Caenorhabditis elegans: one gene and its partners. The protein of the gene in region 3 interacts with the protein of the main gene of each other region in a pairwise test. Each region holds a gene or a part of one and is shown on either strand. Other genes may lie near its edges. The genes, in order: ubxn-5, cdc-48.2 and atx-3.

What was found.
Region 1: the proteins of atx-3 (region 3) and ubxn-5 interact in a two-hybrid assay, tested with the Caenorhabditis elegans proteins (one study listed by BioGRID).
Region 2: the proteins of atx-3 (region 3) and cdc-48.2 interact in binary tests that used the Caenorhabditis elegans proteins (3 or more experiments, as listed by UniProt).

Annotation. Positions count from the first base shown.
Region 1 is NC_003280.10:10,233,333-10,238,588, forward strand, and holds ubxn-5 (UBX domain-containing protein 5), read right to left. Parts: upstream 1,167-5,256; 5' UTR 1,135-1,166; coding exon 1,069-1,134; intron 1,029-1,068; coding exon 899-1,028; intron 851-898; coding exon 522-850; 3' UTR 501-521; downstream 1-500. Other genes in the region: pugs-6 (BPTI/Kunitz inhibitor domain-containing protein), read left to right, coding at 1,364-1,483, 1,930-2,176; F-box/WD repeat-containing protein mec-15, read right to left, coding at 3,741-3,828, 4,271-4,350, 4,675-4,761, 4,807-4,932. UniProt on the Caenorhabditis elegans protein: Probably acts as an adapter for ATPase cdc-48.1 and/or cdc-48.2, conferring substrate specificity. Unlike other UBX domain-containing protein does not bind 'Lys-48'-polyubiquitinated chain.
Region 2 is NC_003280.10:8,135,589-8,143,142, reverse strand, and holds cdc-48.2 (Transitional endoplasmic reticulum ATPase homolog 2), read right to left. Parts: upstream 4,648-7,554; 5' UTR 4,633-4,647; coding exon 4,561-4,632; intron 4,513-4,560; coding exon 4,187-4,512; intron 4,141-4,186; coding exon 3,165-4,140; intron 3,113-3,164; coding exon 2,394-3,112; intron 2,335-2,393; coding exon 1,995-2,334; 3' UTR 1,913-1,994; downstream 1-1,912. Other genes in the region: ints-11 (Integrator complex subunit 11), read left to right, coding at 1-45, 97-1,327, 1,374-1,457, 1,504-1,857; ctns-1 (Cystinosin homolog), read left to right, coding at 6,236-6,369, 6,461-6,652, 6,703-6,943, 6,991-7,281. UniProt on the Caenorhabditis elegans protein: ATP-dependent chaperone which probably uses the energy provided by ATP hydrolysis to generate mechanical force to unfold substrate proteins, disassemble protein complexes, and disaggregate protein aggregates.
Region 3 is NC_003283.11:15,573,848-15,580,435, forward strand, and holds atx-3 (Ataxin-3 homolog), read right to left. Parts: upstream 3,597-6,588; 5' UTR 3,480-3,596; intron 3,041-3,479; 5' UTR 3,032-3,040; coding exon 2,864-3,031; intron 2,816-2,863; coding exon 2,670-2,815; intron 2,620-2,669; coding exon 2,465-2,619; intron 2,320-2,464; coding exon 1,835-2,319; 3' UTR 1,651-1,834; downstream 1-1,650. Other genes in the region: fbxa-94 (F-box domain-containing protein), read left to right, coding at 1-4, 56-259; Coiled-coil domain-containing protein mdt-28, read right to left, coding at 374-595, 899-1,227, 1,492-1,549; F28F8.9 (uncharacterized protein), read right to left, coding at 3,806-3,961, 4,064-4,185, 4,232-4,310, 4,373-4,558, 4,610-4,639; F28F8.7 (ELM2 domain-containing protein), read right to left, coding at 5,246-5,872, 6,184-6,588. UniProt on the Caenorhabditis elegans protein: Acts as a chain editing deubiquitinating enzyme that binds and cleaves 'Lys-48'-linked polyubiquitin chains, with a preference for chains containing four or more ubiquitin molecules thereby modulating protein degradation by the ubiquitin-proteasome pathway.

The DNA of each region.
Region 1 (5,256 bases), on a different chromosome or scaffold from region 3:
ACAGAGAAAGATTACCAGTATCTATTCGAAGTTCAGCTTGGATTCTACGTCAAGATTTCCCCTTTGGAATTTCTTACCAAGTTTTGCCAATTTGCCAATTTCTCACCCAAGTTAGCTCACGGCTTACCAAACTTCCTTCATTCTCTAATGCAAATCATCTCACCACACTTTGAACCAACTTTTAGCAAATTTTCAATGAACTTCAACCCAAGAGCTTGGCCAAGTTTAATAAATTTTAATTATTGATCGATATGGAGAACTTTTTTAAAATTCTCGCCCACAACTTGCCAAAGTTTGGTTGAAGTCTGGCTATTTTTGAATTTCTATATGTATCAGGCATACATTAAGTGAAGGTCTTCCGTGATGGGCAGGCGCGGCGTGAGAGCCTACCTGGAACCTACCTGCCTCACGTCACCCAAAGGCATTAAAGGCGCGAGGCAGGTGAAGGTCTCCTTAAGGTCAGCTAGGCATCTTGGCGCCTACATGAAATACCCTGCATTATAGTCAAGATGAGTTTGACTTCATTGAATCAAATTCACGTAGAGGATTGAGTTATTCGGAATAGTTTCTAGACATTTTACTTCATTCGTCTCCTTCGCCACATTATTTGCTCCTTTTTCTGTTTCATCCTTGAATTCTGCATTGAAAATCGTGTGATACCATGCTGGATAGCAATGAATCTCCGCACGAGGATAGACACTTCGAACCGAGAAATAGTCAGGGCACGCCGGATTCAAAATAATAGCATCAAAAAGTGAAGTCATCGGTTGTGATGGGGAGAAGCTCAGAATTAATCGAGAACCATTGGGGTATCGTACTAGAAGACGGAGGGGTCCTTGTGATACAGTTCCTGGAATAGGCCAGCTTGCATTATTTGCAACTATGGGTTCTAAATTACCTTTCAACTTCTCTCTGTAATCCTGAATGGTTTTCTTCCTCAGCTCCTTCTGTTCAGCTTCAAATCTAATTTTATCCTTTTCTTCTTTCTTTGCAATATCCTTGGCAAGACTCTCCGCATATTCTTTGTTCTGAAATTCTAACTTATCACTGTCATAATCCGAATCTAACCTGTTGGCTCAACAGAGCACGATCCTCCGCAAACTTCTCCTTTTGTACGTGATTGTTAGTTGGCATCGTCTAGTGGTAGTTAGTGAAAATGTGGTAATGATTTTTTTGTTGAAAATTTGCTATCAGAATTTGACGTTGCAAAGTCTAAATTTTATTTATTTTTGAATTCACACGTTTTCTTTTCAGGATTTTTTAAAACTAATATATTTTTAAGAGTACTTTCTAACAGTTCAAAAAATTCAAATACTTTCCAATTTCCAATTTCTAATAACAATTCAAAAACTATAATTTTCAGGCTTCACTCATACACATGTATTCTGGGAGAAGGCGGCTTCTGTACATTAGACAAGTTTTGGTTCCCGGATGATAAAGAAGGATGCACGTATCTTCGTCCGTGGTCGCATAAAGTGGCAGAGTGAGTGAAAGTGTGTGTGCGTTGGAAAATAATTATGTCAGTAGTATGTAATTATCAACTTTTGATAGATATTTAAGAATTGAACTTTTACCAAAAAAATGGTTAATCTTTATTCCGAAATTTGTGATTTCCAATGGGATCCGTTTCGTAAAAATCTAGAAATTCTCATTTTGGAGCGAATTCCAAAAAAAAAAAGAAATAAACCAAAATTGGAAAATATAGTTTTTAAAAGGAGAATTCTTCTTCTTTTTCTATCGATGTTTTTTGTGGGTTTTCTGAGTTTCACACCAATTAAAAAAAATTTTAAAGCTTAATCTCCATTATGGCTACACCACCTTTAAAAATAGGGGTTTTCTGCAAAAAATTTCAATGGAATGGGGAAAGTTTTTTTCAAAAACATTTATAAATACACATTACCAAATTTAATAATTATTTAAATTTTCCAGCTGGTCCTTCTACTTTGTCCTCGAGAAGCGCCCCAGAAAGTACGGAAAAGCCTTTCACGAGCGTCAGAAGAAGCTGAAACGTCAGGCTTCAACCCCAAAACGTGAAATGAGCACAAAACCAATTGGACATCTCACTCTCTACGGAGTCGTTGATTGTGATAAAGTATGTGCTGGAAAAGAAGAAAAAAGTCTTGGATCGTATGCTGATGGAACATTCCATAAGGGAAGAGCACATCGCTTGAATTAAATTTGAAAATTTTGGGTGAGAATCTGATTTTTTATTTCTCTTTCTCTGTAACAAATTTTCTCTGTTTAATTCAAAAAAAGATACACTGTCAAAAAGTGTAAAACCCAAATCGATCTTCCACTGCTTCTGTTTGAACATAATTGTCTTTACATTTTCCTTTTATAGTTCCAGTTAACCTTGTCTAGAATCTCTCTCACTCTCGAAAATCTCCTAATCCTTTCTAGTTTTTGAATTTAGTATCTGATGCATGTACGCTCTACTATTGACACATCAATAGAGCGCACTTGCATTTTTTCCATTTTCATAATGCATTTTGGTCTTTTTCCGGTACAATTGATTGTCCTTCAAGGTAGGCATCGTTTCCCATTATTTCCTTCCTAAATTCCCCGGTTTCACACATTGTCTTTTGTATTTTATTTTAATTCTTTTACGAATTATTATACGTTCGTAATTTTTTCTGGAACGTATAATAATAACTATTTTTGAAATAAATCCTTGCCTTTTCATGTCTTTATTGCTCAGTTTTCTTGAAAAAAGAGGAAAATCTTGCTCTCCGTCTCTCCCGTGTTGTTTTTTTGTGCATAAAAAGATTTTTACATGCAAAACTGGATAAAATGAGTTAGTGTGAATAGGGGAAACGCGGCTCTCGGAGCAATTATTTAGTTCTCGAAATGCACTTTTTGTGTACCAAAACATCTTGTTGGTAAAAATATTAAGTAGGGGGTTATTATAGGGACGCAAAAAAATGCGATTTTTGAAGTCGAAATGCAAATGTGCTCCACTGAGAAATTAATTATTTATCGTTGTTTTTATGTCGAAATTATATAAATTCATAAAATTCGACATAAAATCATTAAAAACAACAAAAACATTTAAAATTCGAATTTCCGGATTCTATTCCTAACGAGACCCAACGTCTAGGGGCGGAGAGTGCCATAGAGCGCCCTTGCGCCTCGATTTCAAAAGATCCATAATAACTTTATTGCCAAGAATTTCAAATTTTCGACGAAATTCTCTAGATTTCCGGCTCCGCATGGCACACTTTAACTATGAAAATCTTTCCGGTAAACATGAAACTTTTGTGATTTTAACCATATTATCTCGAAACTAAACAATGGAGAAATATTTGAGTACTTGTCAAAATGCTCATATTGCTGCTCTCCGCCTAACCCTTTGTCTCCGGAGAGCACACGGGGGACATAGACATTGAGCTCTCTTCTTCAAACGTTCCAAACGTTCCATGCATAACTCCTTAGAGTATATACGCAAATGAGCCACGCAGCACGAGCCGAGAAAGAGAGAAGACTGTTTTGTGTATTTGCCAAAAGACAAATAACACGATGCTCCAGGTGAGCTCCACCATTGTTTTTCTTGCGGGCGAGCGCTAAACTGTGCACCAAACGGGGTTAAACAGGAAGAAGCATGGAAAGGGGCCAAAACATTTCATAATTATGCAAATCTATAAAATATGAAGTTAAATGATATCGATTCAGAAGAGATCATATCAAATGGCAATGATATTTGGTATATACACAAAGGAAATGTTCAGAAATTGAGAAGATATTCAGTTTTCTTGATCCGGAGCCGATGCTGGAAGACAGAACAGAATTGAGCTATCACCATTGCCAATTGCCAGAGTTCTCGATGATGGGCTGAAAAAATAAAATTTTTAGTCAATTTCAAAAAAAAAATCTGGCATAATTTCAATTTTTCAGAAATACCGGTTTTTTTTGCATATTTGAAAAACCGAAAAATACAAATAAAAATTGAAGAATTCAAAAAATTTCAAAGTTTTAGAAAATTTGGAAAGCCGTAAAATTATATTTTGTTGGAAATTCCAAAAGCAAAAAATTTTCTGAAAATTTGGAATGCCGAAAAATAAAGAATTTTCCAATTTTCTAAAAATTCGAAAATCCAAATTTTTTAAAAATATTCCAAAATATCTGGCAATTTTAAGAGCTTAAACCTACAAAATTTTGAAGAATTGGAAAATTTAAAATTTTCTGAAAAATATGAAAATTTTACAAATTATCATTTTTAGAAGTTTTTTTTAAATTTTTTCAATTAATTTTGTGTGCTAACAACTAAACTTACGAATAATCAAATTTGGCTGGCTCCGCGGCCAATTCATGTGAAGCACACCACTGCTGACTACGTGTTCCTGGGCTGTAGATCTGGAAATTTAATCGGGTTGAAATTCTAATTAATGCATATTTTCACTGTTTTTCGTTCGTTCAAAATTTTAGATATGTGGTTTTTTTTCTTCCGAGTCCAAGAATGTGCTAAAAAAGCAACCAAAAACCAAAAAAATGCCTTGTGACAAATCGAATTCCGAATATATACATCCATCTTTGCTTTTTTTTTCATTTTTTGTGCTCGAAAAAGAGAGACAAACGGAAAGAGTGGAACACTGAATTTTTGCATATTTTGCAAAAAAAAAACGAATTCTCAGGAAAATAGGGGGACCTATGAAATTTCTTAAAATGGTTTCTACTCACACTGAATGTGTAATTACGCTTCAAACTTCGCGCCATAATCAAGTGTGCTCCGTGCTCCAAAAATGATTGACGGGTATAGGAACCGACCTAGAAATTATTTATATTAACTGAATAATATTCTATATTCCCTACCGAATATGTCTGCAAAACGTTGAAATTATTTGCATCATACAACTTGACTTTTCCATCGGATGTTGATGTTAGAAGTTGATTACATTGAAGCGATAGACATGATTTATATGCTGTTGGAGAATATTCCTGTAATTCAATTTCATATTATTTTTTTTAAAATTTGATTCAAAAAACTTTTTAAATGCTTTTTTAAATCACCCAGCATCTAAATGTAGCAATTTTTTACTCAAAAATACGGTAACCGGTCTCGGCACATAATATTTTGTTAAATTAGAAAAGGTGTGCGCCTTTAAAGAGTACTGTAGTTTCAACTTTTTTCTGTGGAATTTTCATAGATTTTCTCACAATTTGTTAAAATTTAAATGTGCGTTTTAATTTTTAATTTTAGTTTTTTTTTGAATTAATGAGTATGTTTTAACGAAAAATACAAAAAATCGATGGAAAATTTCT
Region 2 (7,554 bases), on a different chromosome or scaffold from region 3:
AATGCATATGGGATACCAAGATGATCGAAGATTTCCTGACTTTTCGTAAGTTCTGCAAGCTTATTCAATTCAAATCTAAAATAATAACTTTTTCAGGTATATTGGTGGAGGTGGAAGACTAACTGATTACCTAGATTGTGTCATCATTTCACATTTTCATTTGGATCACTGTGGAAGTTTGCCTCATATGAGCGAAATTGTGGGATACGACGGACCAATTTACATGACTTACCCTACAAAAGCCATTTGCCCAGTTTTATTGGAAGATTACCGAAAAGTTCAATGTGACATCAAAGGCGAGACAAACTTTTTCACCTCAGATGACATCAAGAATTGTATGAAAAAGGTTGTCGGATGTGCACTTCATGAAATTATTCACGTTGACAACGAACTTTCTATTCGTGCATTTTATGCTGGACATGTTCTTGGAGCTGCAATGTTTGAAATTCGACTTGGAGATCATTCTGTTCTATACACTGGTGATTACAACATGACTCCAGATAGGCATCTTGGAGCGGCGAGAGTTCTTCCTGGTGTTAGACCAACTGTCCTTATTTCTGAGTCAACATATGCGACCACAATCCGTGATTCGAAAAGGGCAAGAGAAAGAGATTTCCTTCGAAAAGTTCATGAATGTGTGATGAAAGGAGGAAAAGTAATTATTCCAGTCTTTGCCTTGGGACGAGCGCAGGAGCTGTGTATCCTGCTTGAATCATATTGGGAGAGAATGGCTCTCAACGTACCAATCTATTTTTCCCAAGGTCTTGCAGAACGGGCAAATCAGTATTACCGACTTTTCATCAGCTGGACCAACGAGAACATTAAGAAAACTTTCGTAGAAAGAAATATGTTCGAATTCAAGCATATCAAACCAATGGAAAAGGGATGTGAAGATCAACCAGGACCTCAGGTTCTCTTTTCTACTCCTGGAATGCTTCACGGAGGTCAATCGCTCAAAGTTTTCAAAAAATGGTGCTCAGATCCTCTGAACATGATCATTATGCCTGGTTACTGTGTCGCTGGAACAGTTGGAGCAAGAGTTATTAATGGCGAAAAGAAAATTGAAATTGATCAAAAGATGCACGAAATTCGACTTGGTGTGGAATACATGTCGTTTAGTGCTCATGCTGATGCTAAAGGAATTATGCAGCTTATCCGTCAATGTGAGCCTCAACACGTCATGTTTGTGCACGGCGAAGCTTCAAAGATGGAGTTCTTGAAAGGAAAAGTGGAAAAGGAGTACAAAGTACCTGTTCACATGCCAGCAAACGGAGAGACTGTAGTGATTTCTGCTCAACCGAAGCTTGATATACGAGTTCCACTTGAGGTTTGTGTGTTTCTAAAACAAATTGAACTCAAATAAAAAATTCCAGAAAATTGACAGAAGCCTAAGCCTCGATCCGAATCCTGCCAAATCGGAATGCCCATTTGTCGCCGAGCTCGTTTACGATCAAGAAGTAAGATTATTGAACTTTATTTTGCAATAACTTCAAATAATTTTAGAATGAACGACTGAATATCATGTCTACAGCAGAATCAGAAGATTTGATAAAAGATAAAAACTGCATGCCGATCACTCTCTCATTGTCAGAAATCATCAAAGGCAAAAAAGTGAATTGGAAGGAATTATCAAACGAGCTTCTACTCTATGATCCACACTTGCAACTAAAAGACGACGGCATTGAAATGTTTGATGGAGAAATCACTATTTTAGCAAACAATTCTGATGAAACAGAGCTTGAACTGATCTGGGACGAATGCCGTGAACAGTGGTTCAAGGTTATCCATAAAGCCATCACTGATCTCATTTCACCCGAATCCTCCCCGGTCCCTCCTGCTATCTCTGTTAAAGCATAAGATTTTAACAAATACTTTTTACGGTTACGATTTTTTTACTTGTAAAAGTTGGAAATAAATTTAACATTCATGAGAACATTTGATACCCTCGCAAGGATGCATTTACAATAAATAGAATAAAACAATTTTAGCGAAATCTAGTTGTACAGGTCATCATCGTCATTTCCACCGGAGCCACCGTTTCCTCCAACAGGTTGTCCAGCAGAAGGAGCTTCTCCTGGGAACTTGAAGTTGTTTCCAAATCCACGAGATTGTTGAAGAGTCTGGGCGAACATCTCGTATTTTCTGATATCGTTATCAGTCACGGAACGTCTAGCGAACTTCATTGCCTCCTCGAAGTGTGCTCTAGTTATTTCTGGAACTGGGTCAGCCAGTTCATCCTCCATAAGTTCTTCTCCACGAGCACTTCTGTCCTGACGCTCCTTTTCCTGACGAATTTCCCGTTCAATTGATTCACGAATGGCAAGCTTGCATGCTCTGAAAATGGTATTAATTGACAAATGCGAATATTTTTTTAACTAATTTTTATAACAAACCTTTGGCAAATTTCGGTTAAGTCGGCTCCCGAAAAACCGACGGTGTTCTTGGCAAGGAAGTTCAAATCGAGATCGGCGGAAAGGGGCGTTTTGCGGAGTGAGGCCTTGAAAATTTGAAGTCTAGATGCTTCGTCAGGAAGAGGAATGTAGATCAACTGATCGAGACGTCCTGGACGAAGAACAGCTGGATCAATGATATCAGGACGATTGGTAGCTCCAATAATGAACACGTTTTTCTTGGCATTCATACCATCCATTTCAGTGAGAACCTGGTTGATAACACGATCGGCAGCACCTCCAGCATCTCCTACACTTCCTCCTCTGGCCTTTGCGATCGAATCGAGTTCGTCAAAGAAGAGAACGCATGGAGCGGCAGCACGAGCTTTATCAAACACGTCGCGAACATTAGCTTCGGATTCTCCGAACCACATAGTAAGAAGCTCGGGTCCCTTGATGGAAATGAAGTTAGCCTGGCATTCATTGGCAATCGCTTTAGCGAGAAGTGTTTTACCGCATCCTGGTGGACCGTAGAACAAAACTCCACGAGATGGTTGCATTCCGAACTTGAGATACTTTTCTGGATGCTCTACAGGGTATTGAACGAGCTCCTGAAGTTCGCGCTTGACGTTTTGAAGACCTCCGATGTCGGACCAAGTAGTATTTGGAGTTTCCACAACGGCTTCGCGAAGAGCAGATGGGGATGATTTTCCCATTGCGAACTGAAAAATGATTAATGATACGTCTCTTAAGTGCAAAAAAATGATAACTTACTCTAAAGTTCTCCATAGTGACCGCCAAAGAATTGAGAACTTCAGCATCAATTGTATCATCCTCCAAATCAATCAGCTCCATCTTTTCGCGAATTTGCTGAATAGCAGCCTCAGAGCAGAGGGAAGCCAAATCAGCTCCGACAAATCCGTGGCATTCGTTTGCAACTTGTTCCAAATCAACGTCTTCTCCTAATTTCATGTTCTTGGTATGAATTCTGAGAATTTCCAGACGGCCAACAGCATCAGGGATTCCAATGTCAATTTCACGATCAAAGCGACCGAAACGACGAAGGGCTCCATCAATAGAGTTAGGACGATTAGTAGCGGCGATCACGACAACATGAGCGCGAGTTTTAAGTCCATCCATAAGTGTGAGAAGTTGCGAGACGATACGCTTCTCGACTTCACCGTGAGCCTTTTCTCTCTTTGGAGCAATCGCATCGATCTCGTCAATGAACAAAATAGCAGGTGAGTTCTTCTCACACTCGGCAAATGCTTTACGAAGATTCGATTCCGACTCTCCAGACATTTTAGACATAATTTCCGGTCCGTTAATGAGGAAGAAGAATGCTCCTGTTTCGTTGGCGACAGCTCTTGCGATCAGTGTCTTACCGGTTCCTGGTGGACCGAACAGAAGAATTCCACGTGGTGGTTTCACTCCGATAGCCTTGAAAAGTTGGGGATGGCGAAGTGGGAGCTCAACCATTTCCTTGATCTGAGCGAGTTGTTTACGAACACCTCCGAGATCATCGTATCCAACTTCATTGAGAGCCTCCTCTTCTTCCTCTCTTTTAATTGGATCTCCTTCATAGTGAATAACAGTATCTGGAGCAACAATACACGCCGGAGCAGGATCCGTCTCGACAACTTTGAACTCGACAGTTCTCATTGCAGCTTGAACAGTGAATATGTCTCCCTTGTGCACTGGGCGGTAGGCGTCGGTAAAGTATGGCCGAAGGAAGACATCAAATAGATTTCTAAAATAAAAAATACAGTCTTTATTTCTCCGTGGCAAGAACATACCCAGTCAATCCCTCGATTGTGTCATCAATTGGAAGAACATGAACCCTTTTTCCATATTCGAGTTGAGCACTTGAGATACTGACAACGTCTCCAAGACGGCTTCTGAGGTTGTTTCGAACCACTTTGTTCATCTTGATCTTGTCATTCGGGCAATTGTCCGCATTAAGAACGATAGAGACAGTCTCTCTTCGTTTCTTTCCTTTCAAAATCACCGAATCTCCACGGAAGAGTCCCAGCTCGTCCATTTTGGCCTGTGAGAGCATGACCATGGAGTTGTCGTCATTGTCAGACTGATCGATAATGAGTCTGTTTGGGCGTTTTTTGTCCTGAAAGAGTTAATTATATTGAAATGATTACCTTGGAGAAAAACCTACTTTCAAGATAGCCGTAGCCAGCTCATCATTCTTCTTTTCCTTCTCGTCTCTCTGAGTCGGAACTGAGGCCATGGTTAAACGACTTCTCTGTAAAATCTTGGAATAATAAAAAAGAACGGAAGATGGGGGTAGAACATAGGAAAGGCCGAAACGCGAAAGTCTAATAAGAAAGTAGAACACGGACAAACTTTTCTACAGTAGGTTTTCAAGATAAAACTTCAAGTATAATTTCTGATCTAATTCAGTTAAAGAATCGAATCAAAGAAGAGATGCAAAAAGAGCCAATAGAACAAAATTAAGAAATATGGAAGATGAGACACGTAGACTAAGTTCTCTACAGAACACCCCAATGCTGCCTCTACATGATGACAAAACGCAGCCTCTCATTCACACTCTCTCCTTGGGGCGCATTTGCTTTCGAATAATTTCACAAAGCGTTCTACCGTTTTATTCGGGTCATAAGTAATAATTACATTGTTAAAAATATATGTGAACCAGCCGTCTTTAGCGGAACAGAAGTTCAAGGCGAACCTAAGTGATGTGACGATCTAGAAAGCTAGAGGTAAATATCTCGTTCAAAAACGAAGACATAATTTGAATAACAAGGAGACGAATTCAAAGAAACGTACGATATGAGTGATATTTCAGTGGTAAATTTCCGCAGTTTCCGCAGAGTCAGTGGTAAATTTCCGCAATCGCATAAATATGGAAAAGATATTATACGGCAAAGATAAATACGATAACACACTCTGGTAATTGTTTAACAACGACTGAGATAGCGAAAACCTCCCAGCAACTGTTTAAAACATAATTATTTATAATGAGCAATGCATTGCGCAATGAGAAAACAATTTCTAGAAGAAAAAACTGTTCGTTAAACGTACGCGCTGCTTTTTTTGTTCGAAGGAGCGCGTTTGGTGTTCAGAGACTTGACCGTTTTTTGGAGTTCAGCTATTTTAGGAATCCGATATCTGGAAATAACTGAGAACGCCTGACTTTTATTACAGGAAATAATGATTTTAACAAAATGGCCAACCAGGAAACCACATAATGTATAAAAATTATCAAAAAAAAGCATCAGGTTTAAGACAACTTCATTTTTTTTCAGCGAATCTGCTTCTGGAAGAAACTTCTTGCGGATTCGTGGTGTCTCCCGCTTTACAAAAATCTAAAGTTCTACAAAACGAAACATTAAAACAGTTTTTTTGAGCTTCAATCCATGTTTTTTTTTAAGTTTTCGATAGTGTTTTATTGTTTCAGTTTCCCAAATTACAAATTAAATTAAATTTTTTTGGAATATTTAATTTTCTTTAAAATTCACAGTGTATTGTTTTCCTCATGTAAACTGGATTTTTGGTCTTTTATCAATAAAAATTATCGATGATCTGAACGATTTTCTGAATATTCCGACGCATTAAATAAAAAATGTGTATATATATGTTTTCAACATGATGTTTCCCTCGTTTGTTTACAAAAATTCCAACCTTCCCCCGTTCTCTCGGTCAATCATTCGTTTTTCACTATTTTGCTGTTTCTCTTTTTCTCGCTCAATTTATGTTATTGATTCATTTCAATGCCAAAACTGATGATATAAAGCGTCGTTTTCTCTATTCACAACTCCTGTTTTATATTTTGCTTCCATTTTTTGAAGTATAATTGTTTCCAGAATGATATAATGAGTTTCCCGGTGGCATTTTTGCTCGTTCTCTTCTTGGTTCCATTCACATTTGCGACAAATAATTTAGTTGTTAGACAGAAAGAATTGGAAATTGTAATTGGAGGAGAAGTCTCTGTTAATTTCCAGATCAAGTGAGTTATTAATAATATTTTTCATCCAACAGGTTATAAAATAAAAACAATCATACGAACATGTGCTGTATTCAATCAATATAATTTTCAGAAACCACACATCACAATCATTGAACGCAACACGTATCTCCCTCTCGCAGTCACCATACATCTCCCATCCTGATGCTATTCTCGTTGACAATTGGAATGCTAATGTGACAGTTTTAGGAAGCCAATTGGTGTCCGGAGCTATTTTAGAAGCTCTCAATTGTACTACAGATGGGTCAATTACTTGTCCTCTGGAGTGAGTCGATGATTATATATTGTAAAAATTAAATCAAAACTCATTTCCAGTCTTGAAGATGCGTTTGCTAGAATCACAGTTATTCGCTCTCACTTTCTTGCCATTTTGATTCAAATTGTTGGATGGACATACTTCTTCGCATGGAGTATTTCGTTTTATCCCCAAATGTATCTGAATTTCAAAAGAAAAAGCGTCGTCGGGCTAAACTTCGATTTCTTATCTCTGAACCTTGTCGGATTTTGTGCATATGCTATTTTCAATCTGTTAATGTATTATAATAGTCATGTAAAGGTGAGAACTAGAAAATAAATAACTAAAATTAATTCATCTTCTTTCAGAATGAATACAATATTGTGAATCCTCGGTCACCGCCACCAGTACTTTTGAACGATGTTGTGTTCGCTGTTCACGCATTTCTTGCCTGCTTTATCACAATTCTTCAATGTTTATTCTATGAACGTGATAATCAGAGTGTTTCTTCAAAATGTATCGCCCTTATGATTGTGCTGATCTCTTTTGGATTCTGCTCCGCTGCCGCCACGGTTCTCAGGAAAATTCAATTGCTCTCGTTTGTGACCAGTTTGTCGTACATAAAAATGGCTGTAACCTGCTGTAAATATTTCCCACAGGTTTGTTTCATATTGTCCATTTGTAAACAGTATTCTAGCCTGAAATTATTTTTTATTATTTTTAAATTACTAGTTTTTCCAAAAAAGTTTTCAAAACTTGACCGCGAAATTTTGCGCCAAAACTACGGTATCCGGTCTCGATACGACAGATTTTGTTTAACTCAAAAAGTTGTGCGCCTTAAAAAGTACTGTATCGTCATCAAAAATTCACGAAAAAAAGCTGGGAAAATGATGTTTTATCGAAAACATGTTAATTTAAATTATAATTTTATT
Region 3 (6,588 bases):
TCAGGTAATCTGTGCTCGGAACAGCAATTTACCTACTTATTTTACCAATTTTCAGCTTCTCCAAATCTCTGCCAACTTCAAATCGCTTAACATCACAACATGTTGCGTACAGGATTTTCTTCTTGTCGTTAAAGTTCTCCAACCAAATTTCATCCAAAGAGTTTTTGGCAGTGGCTCTACCGACTTTGCCATCAACGGCAAGAAATTCCATGTCGAGTTTGATCTGAACAACATCAAGATCGAAAAGAAAATTCGCTAATTTTCCGGTTATATTATTATATTGTTGGTTATAAACTTGTTGAGTTATACATTTAGATTTAGATTCGAGAAAAAAGTAGCAAAAATATACAAAAATAGCAAGGTAAAAAATAAATTAAGTGGTAAAATGTTTCCCAGCATTTGGATGTGCCTCATTGTAGATCTGAATCCGAGAGTTCAACATTTCTCTGGCGGCTGCGATGATAGTCTCCTGCCGTTCGATAGCTTCATCCAGGTTCTCCTCTTCAATCGCATATTGTGAATATGGTTGTTCCATTTCCCATTGAACACCGAGACGCGTGAACTCGTTATTCACATCGACAGAGGCATCGCGGAACTGAAACAATTAAGGATTTAAGTTTTTTTTTTGAAAATTGGAAATTGGAATTTTTTTTTGAAAATTACTAAAATGAGCTCCAAATTTCAAATTTTTGAATGAGAATCCTCCAAATTTCTCTAACATTTTGAATGGTAGACTCGAAAAGTAAATAGAAAATTCAAGTATTTTTATTTTTTATTTCAAAAATCAAAAATGGAAAAAAATGTTTAGAGAATTACCAATAAAACTTTGATAAATTGGTTTTTTTTAGGTAAAAAAGCTTCGAATTTTTCAGATTTTTTCCAGAATCCCACCACGTACATGTTTACTGCAGACTTCTGCGACTTCCTTAACATGATTAAGTGTTGATGGTGGTGGAACGGGCGCTTTAACCGATACATTCGTCAGCAGCTGACACCAATGCATCATAAGCGAATCGATTGCGTCGCCCAGATAAGTTGGCTCGATCGGCTCTTCGTCATCCTCGTTCGTTGAGCCGGCTCCATCATTTCTCATTCGTCTTTCGTCGTTTTCAATGGATCCATCAGCGGCTCCTTGTGGAACACTATTCGAGTATTCGTCGTCTGGAAGATCCGGAGCATCGCCGAGAATATCGTCAATGTCCTCACCGCCGCCGCCGAATTCTGGAACTATTAGATTTTGTAAAATATTTTTATTATTTCGGCTCAAGGGTGCCATCAAATAATTTTTTAAAGTTTTTTTTTTCAGAGAAAATCGGGAAAAAATGATCAGAAAATTAACAAAAAAATTCAATTTTTATCAAATTTTGTATTAAAATAGCTTAAGATATTGCCATTTTCTTCTTTTGAGTAAAAAAACTGGGAAATCCTACTCCTCGTGGAGCACTAGCTTAAGCTCGAATTCGAAAAATTTCTTGAATTTTCAAAAATCACCATTCATTGGCATTTCCTGTTCTTCTCCGCCGTCCTCTGCATCCAATTCCTCGAACATTTTCAATCTAAAAAAAATGATTATTTTTTCCAAAAACTCTAAAATTGAAGGTAGTAATACTCATGGAATGCCAGAATAACTTTGAAAAGGGCAACAAAATTCAGAAAAAAAGGAGATTTCATCTAATTCTAAATAATATATCACATAGTCTGAAAGCGGTTCATACATAAGCACCAAGTATTTGGGGATACAAGTATCGGGAGAAATGAATAATCGAATTATACAGGAAAAGCCGAGAATATATTCACATAATAGAATTCAAATAATAAATTTACGATTAAATCGTTATTTTTCATCGTTCCTCTCTTCTTTCTTCTTTTCGAATCGCTCCAAAAACTTTTGTCGATCTCTGCGCTGTTGTTCGGCATTTGAAAAAGGTTCTGAAGCTCCTGGCGGCGTCGAAGATCGAGAACGAGTCAATAGCGGTATCTCAGCCGGTTCTGATGGTCCTGGAGCCTGGCTCAGCTCAATCGCCTTTCTGAGATTTTCTTCATCGATTTCAGCGGAACTTCGAGACACTTCAGAGCCATCCTTTGTTTCCATAGACATTGCAAAAGCTATCGCCAAATCTTTTTCTTCTTGAGAATCCGGAGGAGCACCGCTTCCACCGCCAAGTCGTTTTCCGACGGTATTGAAGAATTTTGTCATGACTTTCTCCAGCTTCTGCTCCTTTTTCGGTGTAACTTTTGGCGGTACAACTGGGCATAGCGAGATGAGATCGTCTGCATCGGATCTTGGCAAAACTCCCTGCACCACGAAGATTGAATAACCTGAAAATTGATAAATTAAAATAATTTTCGATTTTTGGAACTTTTTTTCAGAAAAAAAAATCAACGCTACAGCTTGTAGTTTAGGGATAAATAAAAATCTGGCTCTAATTATCAAAATTTAGCTTCAAAATTCATGAATTTATACCTTCCGACGACACTTGATGCAAGAACATGCTAACATAAGTGTCAGAGAGCAATTTGGGCCCACGGTTCACCGAATTCAGCTCGAACCATTGATTTCCGAATTTTCGGAGCACAAACCAGTGCTCTCTGAGGTTGCATATGTAAGCACGGGCGGTTCTGAATTGGAAATTATGAAATTTTTTTGTAAATTATATGGTAACTCGTACAAGGGATTATTTTTATAGTCCACCATCGCAGGATTTTCGATATTTGTGAGCTTGAGGCTAAATGTTTCAAGTGCTTTCTCCAAAACTTGAATTGAAAAGTAGCCGCTTTCGTTCATGTTCTCACTTCGTCCCGGAGTTGGGTTTGCCTGAAAAATCAAGAATTTCAATTAAAATTTTTTCGTATTTTCCATTACATTTCCCAGAATTTGTTGTTCCATTTTATCCATCTGAATGGCCAAGTCTCGGAGATCTTGCCACTTGTACAGAGCATCTTGTAGGAGCATATTCAGCGCGTGTTGAGCACAAAGAGCAGCTTCCTGGTGCTCGAAGAAGATGGAGTTGATCGGATCGTCTTTTGACATTTTTTGGAGCTGGAAAAATTTGGATTAGGGAAACGAATGGAGAAAATAAATAAAACACCTCAAATTTTGGAGAAGAAAACTTGGAAATAGTTTTATTTTTTCGATTTCACAATAATATTCCTCATGCTGAATGCCAAAATCGATATTTTTTGTAAGACGGATAGGTTTAAAAAAAAAATTGAGATTTTATAGGAAAATTCGCGAAGAATTGTTAACAAGCTGTTATTTTTCGAAAAAAACAACACGACTTCTAATGTTTTCCATGGAACTCCAGCACAAAACTGCAAAACCATCGGATATATTGTTAGAATTTTTACAGGATAAACTTATTTTAATAAAATTACGTCAATTTATAACTTGTTTTTCAACAAAAATAACCAATTTCGTTTGACAACCTACGAAAAATGTGAAATTTGATGAAATCGAAAAAAAAACGAAATTAAAAAACCTCAACGATGCTCCGAAATAACGACACCGCGTGTTGTTTATTCTACGTTTTATTGACTTTATTCAAAAGGTTTTCGAGAATTTCAGCTTGAAATAAGAATTTCGGTATGTTTTGGAGCTGAAAAAAGTCAAAGTATTCTGCAGAATATTGTTCTGAAATTGAAAAAGTCATAAAAATCGTATCGTAAATATAATAAGGCTTAAACACAACCTCGAAAAAATATACGACATTTTACAATGAAATCGAGAGAAATTGGCTAGTTTTATGCAAAATTCACAGAAGAAAATCAATAAATAAGTTAATAAATATGTCACATGAAATTAGAATTAGTTCTGGTTTTTCGGCGACTTCAAGTCTCCGTTTTCGTCGATTAATTGCATCTTCAATGCGCGAAATCTCGTCCAATACGTGACGTCATACCATTCTTTGATGTCGAGAACTTTTTGAACGCCTTGTAGCTTCAACGTCCATTCCACGGGGCTCTGTAACGATTTTTGATATAATTTTTGGTAAAAAATTGAGAAATAATTTATACAACGTGTCATTTTTTGTAGAAAATCTTCAATTTTAAATTTTTATATTACTTTAAAAGGAATTTCGAAGCCATCTTTCCGTCTCCGCTGAGCAATCGCCATCTGTCTTGCTGATGTGATTATTCGAAGTTTTGCCAAATCTGTGAGCCTTTCCAGCGCTTTTTCGTCGATTTCTAAGCCAAATAAATATGGAAATGAATGAAAAATTCAATTTTCTACCTTCAAATCCTGCAAATAGTGTCATTAATCGGATGCCAGCCTGCAAATCATTTTCGAACTTCTCCTTCTCGACTCGGCACTGCAAATTGACTGAAAAATATGTAAAAAATAGAAAAAAACTGTTGAAAAATAAATTCTTACTCTCTTTCTGCATGGCTCATCAAATTCCTCGGCTTTTCGTTTCTCAATCTTCGGAATTTTGAAGCTTTTCACATTTTTGAAGTATTTTTTCACATTTTCTGTTTCTTCTAAACTCCAATCGTCTCTTCGAAGCACGTCTTCCACGTACATTGTGGCGCCGAGAAGGTAGCGGGCCATTTTTTTTAGCTGAAATAAGTCATTTAAAGCGTAAAGAAGGAAATCTGGGGCAAAACGAACAAGTTGACAAGAAAATTCATCTATTTCCATTAAAAAAAATTTCGCTGAAGAAATTTGCCGACGTCACTCCAATGTTGCGCCGGAGCCTTGTTTAGCGTAAATCTACACAAGCAAATTTTAGCGGTTAATTCGAATATTAAACCTGAAATCTCTCGATTTGGGTAAAGAAAACAATATTTTCAACTGAAAACTGAAGTATAAGTTGAGTTTTTGGATAATTCAACCAGCATTATGAAACGAGAAACAAGAATATCAACAGAATATCACTTTTGTAAGTGAGAACCGGGGGAATGTTTAAATTTAAAAAAGGGAAAGCAATTAAAAATGTCGAAATAACTTCGGGAATTGAGAAATGTGCAAAGTAAGAAAACAACAAAAATTTATAGTCAAAGTACAGGGATTTGGAATTAAAAAAAATAAGGGAAACATACAGTTACTTCAAAGGCGCAAGCGTCATTGCAATTCGATGGGTCTCGTAGCGAATGGTTTATTTTTGCATCATTATTTTTTGCTGAATTTCGAAAATATTTTTATTTTATTTATTTTTAAAATTTTTTCATAAAATCTTCGTCTTTTGATAACGTTTGCGCCTTCAAAGTAACTTTAAACCGAAAAAAATGCAATAGGATATGTGATTTATGGTCTTTGAACTCGTTCGAAATTTTTCGAATTTTTCACCGAAACAATCATCGTCTTGAGCTTTTCCGCTACTCCTGGGCAAACTTCAACGATCATGTGATGTCCATTTTGATAACCGCATTTTTGGAAAAGCGGGATAGAATATGGCTTCAGCTTTTCAGACGTTGACATTGCAGAAATACGCTTCTCCACAGCCAAATGACGATTGATATTGTCGTTGTGTCCGAGAATTTCGATCTCTTCCTTTGTGAGCTCAGATCTCTTCAATGCGTAGATCTTCTCAAACTCTTCCCGTGACAGTGAGCCCGACGATGTTCGCATCAGCGTATTCCAAGAAATAACCTTGTTGGCTTCTTCCTTGCTGAACACAGTGGCTTTCGATGGACGGGTGTTTCCAGTAATTCCTTGATAAGTAGAGCAGATCAGACAGAGCTTAGTATCGTCGGGAATTGGATCGTAATACTTCAACGCTTTGTTGCAATTCTGACAAGCCCATCGAGGTTGAAACTCCAAGTCCTCACAGAGCGGCTCGTTGCAGTGGCAGGATTTGCTGGTTTTTTCCATGATGTGATGTTGGAATGCGTGGCAGAAGTGATGGATCTCGTCGAGGTTGTAGTTGGGCATCTGGAAGCATTTTATTTGAGAAAATTCAGACTATCCTCACAAAAATCGAAAATTTTTTGAAAAATAACGTTTAATTTTTGGTCATTTTCTTTTTATTTTAAAAAGAAAATTTTTATGTTTTCCTATGTTTTCGCTTATGAACTAAACAAAATATTATGAAAATTAATCTTTATTGTTAATTTTCTTTAAAAATTTTTTTTTTCGACTTTTCGAGTTTCCGGAAAATCACATTTTCCGGCAAAAATCTCGAAAATATATGGCTTAAAATTGAATTTTTCTTTAATTTTCTCTCTCTATTAGCTTCAACTTACACAATTCTTCTGAATTTCTCGCAAAATTGGCCCTTTTTTCATCTTCTTGAGAGCATCTTTGAACCGCTCAATTTGCACAACACGAAGTGGCTGGAAAGCACGTGGAAGATCTGGAAGTACTTGATCAATGGAATCAAGGCTCTTCTCAATTGAATAGTCGTTGATCATCAACCATTGAAGTGCAACCTCCATCGGAATATGATTTTCGAATTGGCGCCAAATTGCTCTCCAGTACGCGTTTTTGAGCAGGTCGTAGTCCAAGTTTTGATCATCATCAGGCGGACACCACATTCTCTCATCTCGATCCTCCTCCTCATCGCGTCCTCGGAGTTTTTTGAATGGTCCGACATGGGCTTGGTGTTCACGTCCTACTGCATTCTCGAGATATAGAAAATTTTCCGAATT